Linked DNA regions of Sus scrofa. The protein of the gene in region 2 purifies or fractionates together with the protein of the main gene of each other region. This does not show direct contact. Links are inferred from orthologs where the notes say so. Each region holds a gene or a part of one and is shown on either strand. Other genes may lie near its edges.

Evidence for each region. Proteins that work in one complex are often made in the same cells at the same time.
Region 1: the proteins of HDAC6 (region 2) and ACTB purify together in Homo sapiens (affinity purification with mass spectrometry; 3 studies listed by BioGRID, with this or other methods). This does not show direct contact. The link is inferred for Sus scrofa from reciprocal best matches to the Homo sapiens genes HDAC6 and ACTB.

What each region holds. Positions count from the first base shown.
Region 1 is NC_010445.4:4,087,569-4,091,790, forward strand, and holds the start of ACTB (actin, cytoplasmic 1), read right to left. Parts: upstream 2,816-4,222; 5' UTR 2,691-2,815; intron 1,978-2,690; 5' UTR 1,972-1,977; coding exon 1,849-1,971; intron 1,717-1,848; coding exon 1,477-1,716; intron 1,030-1,476; coding exon 591-1,029; intron 493-590; coding exon 311-492; intron 181-310; coding exon 37-180; 3' UTR 30-36; exon of another isoform or gene 1-29. UniProt on the Homo sapiens protein: Actin is a highly conserved protein that polymerizes to produce filaments that form cross-linked networks in the cytoplasm of cells.
Region 2 is NC_010461.5:42,931,682-42,935,222, reverse strand, and holds part of HDAC6 (histone deacetylase 6), read right to left. Parts: intron 3,287-3,541; coding exon 3,160-3,286; intron 3,064-3,159; coding exon 2,998-3,063; intron 2,908-2,997; coding exon 2,848-2,907; intron 2,778-2,847; coding exon 2,688-2,777; intron 2,105-2,687; coding exon 1,998-2,104; intron 1,909-1,997; coding exon 1,841-1,908; intron 1,633-1,840; coding exon 1,467-1,632; intron 1,351-1,466; coding exon 1,222-1,350; intron 1,050-1,221; coding exon 881-1,049; intron 544-880; coding exon 410-543; intron 1-409.

The sequences.
Region 1 (4,222 bases), on a different chromosome or scaffold from region 2:
TGTCAAGAAAAAGGTGGAATGCAACTAACAGTCCGCCTAGAAGCATTTGCGGTGGACGATGGAGGGGCCGGACTCGTCGTACTCCTGCTTGCTGATCCACATCTGCTGGAAGGTGGACAGCGAGGCCAGGATGGAGCCGCCGATCCACACGGAGTACTTGCGCTCTGGAGGCGCGATGATCTGGAAGGAGAAGGGGACAGTGAGGCGGGTGGCGGTCAGAGCCCTGGTCCCCAGAGCACCCGCTCCGCGGCGGCTGCCGTGGCACCCACGCCGCCCGGCCGCACCCGGCCAGCTCAGGCTGGGCACTCACCTTGATCTTCATCGTGCTGGGCGCCAGGGCCGTGATCTCCTTCTGCATCCTGTCGGCGATGCCTGGGTACATGGTGGTGCCACCCGACAGCACCGTGTTGGCGTAGAGGTCCTTGCGGATGTCGACGTCGCACTTCATGATGGAGTTGAAGGTAGTTTCGTGGATGCCGCAGGATTCCATGCCTGAGGGGGGAGAGAAGCCCGACTGAGCTTCCGCTGTGGCCACCACCGGGTGAGCCAGGGGGGGCGGGGGGAAGGCAGGGCCAGGGCTGCGTCCTCACCCAGGAAGGAGGGCTGGAAGAGCGCCTCGGGGCAGCGGAAGCGCTCGTTGCCGATGGTGATGACCTGGCCGTCGGGCAGCTCGTAGCTCTTCTCCAGGGAGGAGGAGGACGCGGCAGTGGCCATCTCCTGCTCGAAGTCCAGGGCGACGTAGCACAGCTTCTCCTTGATGTCCCGCACGATCTCCCGCTCGGCCGTGGTGGTGAAGCTGTAGCCCCGCTCCGTCAGGATCTTCATGAGGTAGTCGGTCAGGTCCCGGCCAGCCAGGTCCAGACGCAGGATGGCGTGGGGCAGGGCGTACCCCTCGTAGATGGGCACCGTGTGGGTGACCCCGTCTCCGGAGTCCATCACGATGCCAGTGGTGCGGCCAGAGGCGTACAGGGACAGCACGGCCTGGATGGCCACGTACATGGCTGGGGTGTTGAAGGTCTCGAACATGATCTGGAGGGAGGGAGGGACGCTGTCACCCTCGGGAAGCCGCCGGGGGCAGTCAGGCCGGACTGGGGACATGCAGAGAGTGCAAGGAACACGGCTAAGTGTGCTGGGGACCCCAGGTCGGGGAGTCACGTCAGACCTACTGTGCACCTACGGGATACACACTCCGAGGCCCCTTTACGGCAGCCTCGTCGGCTTTGTCACACGAGCCAGTGTTAGTACCTATACACCCACAGCACCTTATGCTTTTAACACCTAGTCAGAAAGGCAAACACGAGAAAGACTCCAGCTGGGGAAAAGCAAATAGAACCTGCAGAGTTCCAAAGGAGACTCAGGTCAGAGAAGAAAAGTCCTAGGAAAATGGCAGAAGAAAGAACAAGTGAGAAAGGGCGTGGCAAAGAGGGGCAAGAGAGGAGGGGGCGGCCGCCCGAGAGAGCCCAGTGGGCCACTGACCTGGGTCATCTTCTCACGGTTGGCTTTGGGGTTCAGGGGGGCCTCGGTCAGCAGCACGGGGTGCTCCTCGGGGGCCACACGCAGCTCGTTGTAGAAGGTGTGGTGCCAGATCTTCTCCATGTCGTCCCAGTTGGTGACGATGCCGTGCTCGATGGGGTACTTGAGGGTCAGGATGCCTCTCTTGCTCTGGGCCTCGTCCCCCACGTAGGAGTCCTTCTGGCCCATGCCCACCATCACGCCCTGCGGAAGGAGGGGCGAGGCGCCTTCAGCCCGGGCCCGGCCCCACCGGCCCCCACGCAGAAAGCCTCCCCCTTCCCTCCACCTGCTACCAAGACCCCACCCACCAAGTCAGACCCGAGGGCGGCGCCCTACCTGGTGTCGGGGGCGCCCCACGATGGAGGGGAAGACGGCCCGGGGAGCATCGTCGCCCGCAAAGCCGGCCTTGCACATGCCGGAGCCGTTGTCGACCACGAGCGCAGCAATATCGTCATCCATGGCGAACTGCAGGGGCAGCAGGACCGTGAGCCGGAGGCCGGGTGCGGCCGCCTCCGCCCTACTCACTTCCGGCGCGACGCGCGTTCGAGCCGCCAGGGGGCGCCGGCACGCGCCCAGATTGGGGACAAAGGAAGCCGGCCGGCCGCGTTATTACCATAAAAGGCAAACGCTGGTCGGAGGCGGCCCCGAGGCGCGCGGCAGGAAGCCAGGCCTCCGCCCCCTCCCCACTGGGCGCCAGCCCCGCCCCGCCCAAAAAGCGCCACTCGGCGGGCGCGCGGCGACCACACCCGGGGCGGCCCGTGGCTCCGCGAGGAAGTGCGCGCAGGCGCTCTCGCGCCGCGGCGACCCCACCCCTTCCGGCCGCCCGCCCCGCCCTCGCCTCCTGGGCCTACGGCGCACACGCACGCGCACTGGCGTCCCAGCCCCCACCCGGCTCGGCCACCGCGCCGCGCCCACCCACCCGCCCCGCCGCCCGGCTGCACTGCTCTCCCGCCGGCGGAGCGATCGGCCCGCTCGGACAAAGAATCGCCGCCGCTAGGGCTCCCAAAGAAACACTCTGGGAGCGCTCCCCGAGCGCAGCCCGGGCCCCGAACGAGGAGCGCATGAGTCCATTCCCGGCACCCGGCCGGCTGTCCACGGGGCCGGGGCGGAGGGGGCCACCTGCCCACAAGAGGCACGGGCCCAGCGCATCAGCGGCCCGGCCGGTGCGGGGACCCTACCTGGTAGCGGTGTAGACCGGCGGCGAAGGCGGAGCGGCAAGGGCGAGGGGCCTGTGCTGGCGGAGTGGACGCGGTCTCGGCTGTGGCTGTGCGTCGCGCCGCCGGGTTTTATGGGGCGCAGTCGCGGCGGCTCGAGCCATAAAAGGCAACTTTCGAAACGGCGAGCGCTGATTGGCCCCGCGCCGCTCACTCACCGGCCTCGCCGCACAGTGCAGCATTTTTTTACCCCCTCTCCCCTCCTTTTGCAAAAAAAAAAAAAAAGAAAAAAAAAAAAAAAGAAAGAGGGAGGGAGATGGACTGGCTAGGAGAGAGCGAGAGCGAGATTGAGGAAGAGGAGGGAGAGAGTTTTGGCGTCGGCCGCCCTTGGGTGCTGGGCCCCAACAGTGGGCCGCCGCCCGCCTGAGCAGTGTCGGGTCCGGCCCCGCTTGGCCAGGCCTGCACCCGGCCTGCTGGTCTCCGGGTCTCCCCACCCCGGCACCCTCCGAATGTGGATGCCCCAAAGCAGTGAGCGCCCCTGTGGGCAAGGGTCAGCACGGATGCGAGAGTCCCTGGTTGCTGTGGGTGCATGCTTAAGGAGCAGGTGGGGGAAAGGAGTGATGAGAGAGTCACCCTCCCCTTGGCGACATTAGCTCTGCTGCCCAGAAAGCCTGGGTAAGGGGGGGCCCCGACTGGGGGTGCTGAGCTTGCTAAGTGGGGGTGCTGAGCTTGCTAAGGGGGCACATTACTTAGAGACCGTGGGCTTGAGGGCTATGGTGGGGCATGCTTGAGTCAGGGGACTTGGAGACACGTAGCAGGGGCTTCAGGACTGCAGTCTCTAGGGACAGGACAGGCCCCAGGGGCTGGGGGCTGGAAGTTCCCCGTGAAGAGGGCTCCAGGCCTCCCTTGCTGCAGGCCCAGGAGAGGTGGGCTCCGTAGAGCAGAGAAGCTGTTCCCATGGAGCTGGGCTGCGGCTGAGGCTGCCTGGTCACACCCAGCCAAGGCCAAGCCTGGGCCATTAGCTGGCGACCCAGGCAGCTGCCAAGCACTGCTGGCTGCAGGCAGGCAGGGCCACTGAGCACAGCTCTGGGACCCACCATCCATCGTCTGTCTGTCACGTGCAGCCACAGCTGAACTGCCCTCCTAGACCATCTGGAGGCCACCAAGGACTGGGGAAGGACATTCAATGTGCCAGAGAGGAGTTAGGGGGAGGGGGGTGGGGCAGCAGGGACCAGCTGGGGCCCACTCCTGCCCTGGTCTCTCCACCAAACACGGGGTCAGACCTGGGTGCCCCCGGGTGTTCCCAGTGGTTCCCTGCTCTGGGAACTGCCTGTCCAGCAGGGAGAGCCTGCACCCAGGCGGGGGCCACCAGTGGGCAGTGAGTGGCCGAAGGAAGCCCAGCGGGGCAGCGTGGAGGTGCACCTTCTCCGAGGCCGTGACAAGCTGAATTTTCCCACAAAGGAAACAGGGCAGAGGGGTCCAGGTGGGGGCCCTGGCCTGCCCTCGGGCGTCTGTCTCCAGGTCTGCCTAGGGCTTTGCTACGCATAGTAGGTGCT
Region 2 (3,541 bases):
CAGCTCACAGCAACGCCGGATCCTCAACCCACTGAGCGAGACCAAGGATCAAACCCACAATCTCACTAGTTAAGATTCATTTCCACTGCACCACAACGGGAACTCCTGGATCCTGGGTCTTTTGAAGTAAGGAGGGGAGACACAGCAAGGCGTGACACTCTAGGTTCTGTTGGCATAGCAGCCAGAAATTCTGGGTTTAGGGGACCCTGGATTCTGCTTTATAAGCATCTGGGTGCCAGAGTCTGGCGTCCTATCCCGGAAAACACTGAAAGGCTAGATCCTTGGTCCTTTTCTGAAAGCGCAGGGCGATGGGCCCTTGGGTGTTTCAGGGTGACTTGGCGGGGGGCAGCCCTGCCGGGCCTGAGGAGTAAGCCCCGGGTGGGGGGAGAGGGAGCCAGGGAGCCCTCACCGCAGCGCATGCCCACTGATGGCCTGAGCATGGCGAGCAGCTACTGCCACAGAATTGAAAAAGCAGAAACCGCAAGCCGAGTCCCTTTCTGCGTGGTGTCCAGGGGGGCGCACCACGGCAATACCATTCAAAACCTGGGGAAGGGGCAGGGAGCAAAGATGAGAACATGCACCCTCACCGCTTTCTCTTCCCTTTCTCTCCTCTCCCCTCTCTCCTCTCTCCGGTCCCTCTATTACTTCACCAGCTGCTAGGGGGCCCCAGCCCTGGAGCCCCCATCCCTCCCTGGGGGTGCCTCCCCCGCCAGCAAGGCCTCTGGTGAGCTGGGGGCCCCTCCCCATCACAGACCGCTGCCAGCGCCCCCTTTTCTCAGGCCGGGCCAAATTCTCAGAGCTGCCTCTTCCCCCACCCCCACCCCCACCCCCAGAACTTCCTCTCCTGGAGCCTAAGGTCCCCTCCCCAAAGTGGAGGCACCTCTCCTGCCAGCACAGCCTCCACCAGGCGGCAGGCGGCGCCCGCGGCCAGCTGCGCACAGGCGAAGGTGCCAGGGCAGATGTAGATGGAGTCATAGTTGGCACCCTCGCGGTGCAGCTCCCGGGTCCTCATCTTCTCCGTGGCCCGGATGCGACTCACGTATTCAGCACTGGAGGCACAGTGGGGGGTGGGGGGGTACTTGGGGGGACGGTCAGGTAACTCTGTCCCCTCCGTGTCCCTCCCATGTGTCACAGCAGCTCCGTGTACCAGAGAGGCAAGCCCAGGCTCCAGCCCCCAGGACGCCCATCCCACACCCCCACCCCCAGCTGCCGGGGTCCGACCTGTGGCAGGCAAGCAGCTCAGCATCCGTGGCGGGACGGGCGGGCAGAGCGAGGCAGCGCCCGGCGAGGCCCAGCTCCTCCAGTCGGCGCATGATACGCAGGATGCGCTGAGGCATCTCGGGGTGGTGGCTGGGGGTGGGATGGGGGGAACCTGAGGCAGGGGGCTTTGTGTTTGAAGGGGGGGGTCCCTCCCTGGGAGGGTCCCTCCCCATGTCCCCACTTCGCCTGGCTCTCTGACTGCATACCTGTCCCATAAGTTGTAGTGATCCATCATCTGTTGGTCGTAGACCAGCCCTGTGCGAGCCTGCAGCACCGGCCACGCCAGCATCGGTAGCTCAGGGGGCTGCCATGGTTCCTCCTCCTCCTCCACATGGTCCCCCTCCACGGTGTCCTCGTCCTCCAGGGTCTCAGCTGCAAGGGGAGGCCACAGTCACCCTCCTCCTACTCCCCCCACCCTGGATTCTCCAAATACTCTGGAACTCAGTTTACCCAAACCTCCAAAGGGGGCGAGGCCTGGAACCAGGGCCCACTGAGAGAGAAGGGACCTCCACCAAGGGACCTCCCACTGCTCATTCCCCCATCCAACTCCCCCCCACCCAGCACCCTCCACACCTCCTACCAGATCTCACAAGGACCTCCCAGAAGGGCTCAAGGGCTTCCAGAGCACAGGATAGTGACGCCTGGGCACTGGAGGGCAAGGGGAGGGCAACGTGACCCACGGGCCCCTGAGTGGGGCAGTGAGGGTCCTGCTTCTCCCCTTCTCCACCTGGGCTCACCTGGGACAGGGGGCGCCCGGGAACTCCAGCAAGGGACAAGGGTCTCCCAGAAGGGTGTGGAGTGAGGCACTGACGCCCTCAGCCAGGGAGCGGAGGTTGTAGCCGCCCTAGGAGGGGGAATGTGAGGGCTGTCAGCGAAGAAGCAGACATTAGTGGGTGCGAGTAGTAACAGTGGGTTGCTGACTACATGTCAAGCAACAAGGCTCTGAAGGCTGACTTTGTGTCACTGGCTGCACAGCACTATGAGGTAACCACTATTATGATGCCTGTTTTACCTAAGGAAGATGGAGGCCCAAGGCAAGGTGAGTGACAGGTGAGGCTGCCCAGCTAGGGAGGGGAAATGATGGGACAGAAACACCTGCTGGGCTGGCAAGTTGTTCTTTTTTCTTTTTTTTTCTTTTTCTAGGGCCACACGTGTGGCATATGGAGGTTCCCAGGCTAGGGGTCGAATCAGAGCTGTAGCCGCCAGCCTACACCACAGCTACGACGTGGGATCCGAGCCGCATCTGCAACCTGCACCACAGCTCATGGCAACGTGGGATCCTTAACCCACTTAACTCAGGGATCGAACCCGCCACCTCATGGTTCCCAGTCAGATTCGTTAACCACTGTGCCACGACAGGAACTCCTGGCAAGTTGTTCTTCTGTCTTCCAGGTTCCACAGGCTGAGAGCCGTAGTGGGTCACTCACCTCCAGTGAGAGGATCAACTTGCCTCCTGCCAGACCCATGAGCAGATGAGTTAGCTGGGCGAACCCTGCCGGAGTGGCGGCCATCTCACCCTACGGGGGACGTGGAGGGTCAGCGTGGTCCCCTTCTGCTCCCCACACCATCCCAGTGAGCCAGCCTTACCTTGGGGTCCCCTTGGAGGGCATCAAAGCCAGCGGCTACCAGGACCAGCTGGGGCTGGAACTGCAGGGGGAAGGGACCACATGAGGCCACCTGCCTTCACGGCCCATCCCTCAACATACCCTGCCCCAACACACCCCTGCCCCTCAGGACCTCAAGGGCGACTGGCAGCAGGAGGTGCAGGAAAGCAGCAATGTAGTCGGCATCTCGCATCCCCACCTGCGGACAGGGAGGCATGATGGGGATGTCCTGCTGTCTACCTTGAAAGGCCGGGGTGGGCCTCACGTTGGGGGCAAAGGGTGGGCGGACATTGACCTGGTTCCAAGGCACATTGATGGTGTATCCCTGGCCTTGGCCAAAACCCGTGGTGGACCAATTAGAGGCCTTAAGGTGGGGCCAGAACCGACCCTGCTCATAGCGGTGGATGGAGAAATAGAGGACGCTGGAGGCAGAGAAAAAAGAAGAGGAAGGGGTTGAGGAGAGAGTCAGTCTCCCCAAAAACCCCCAACCCATAGTTACCACAGATTACTCAATTACTCTTTCATTCTCTCCTTAGTTCCCCCACTAATTCTTTTTTTTTTTTAATTTTTATGGCCGCACCTATGGCATATGGGCCAAGGATTGAATTCGAGTTGCACCTGTAACCTATGCTGAGGCTGCAGCAATGCCAGATCCTTCAACCCACCGCCCTGGGCTG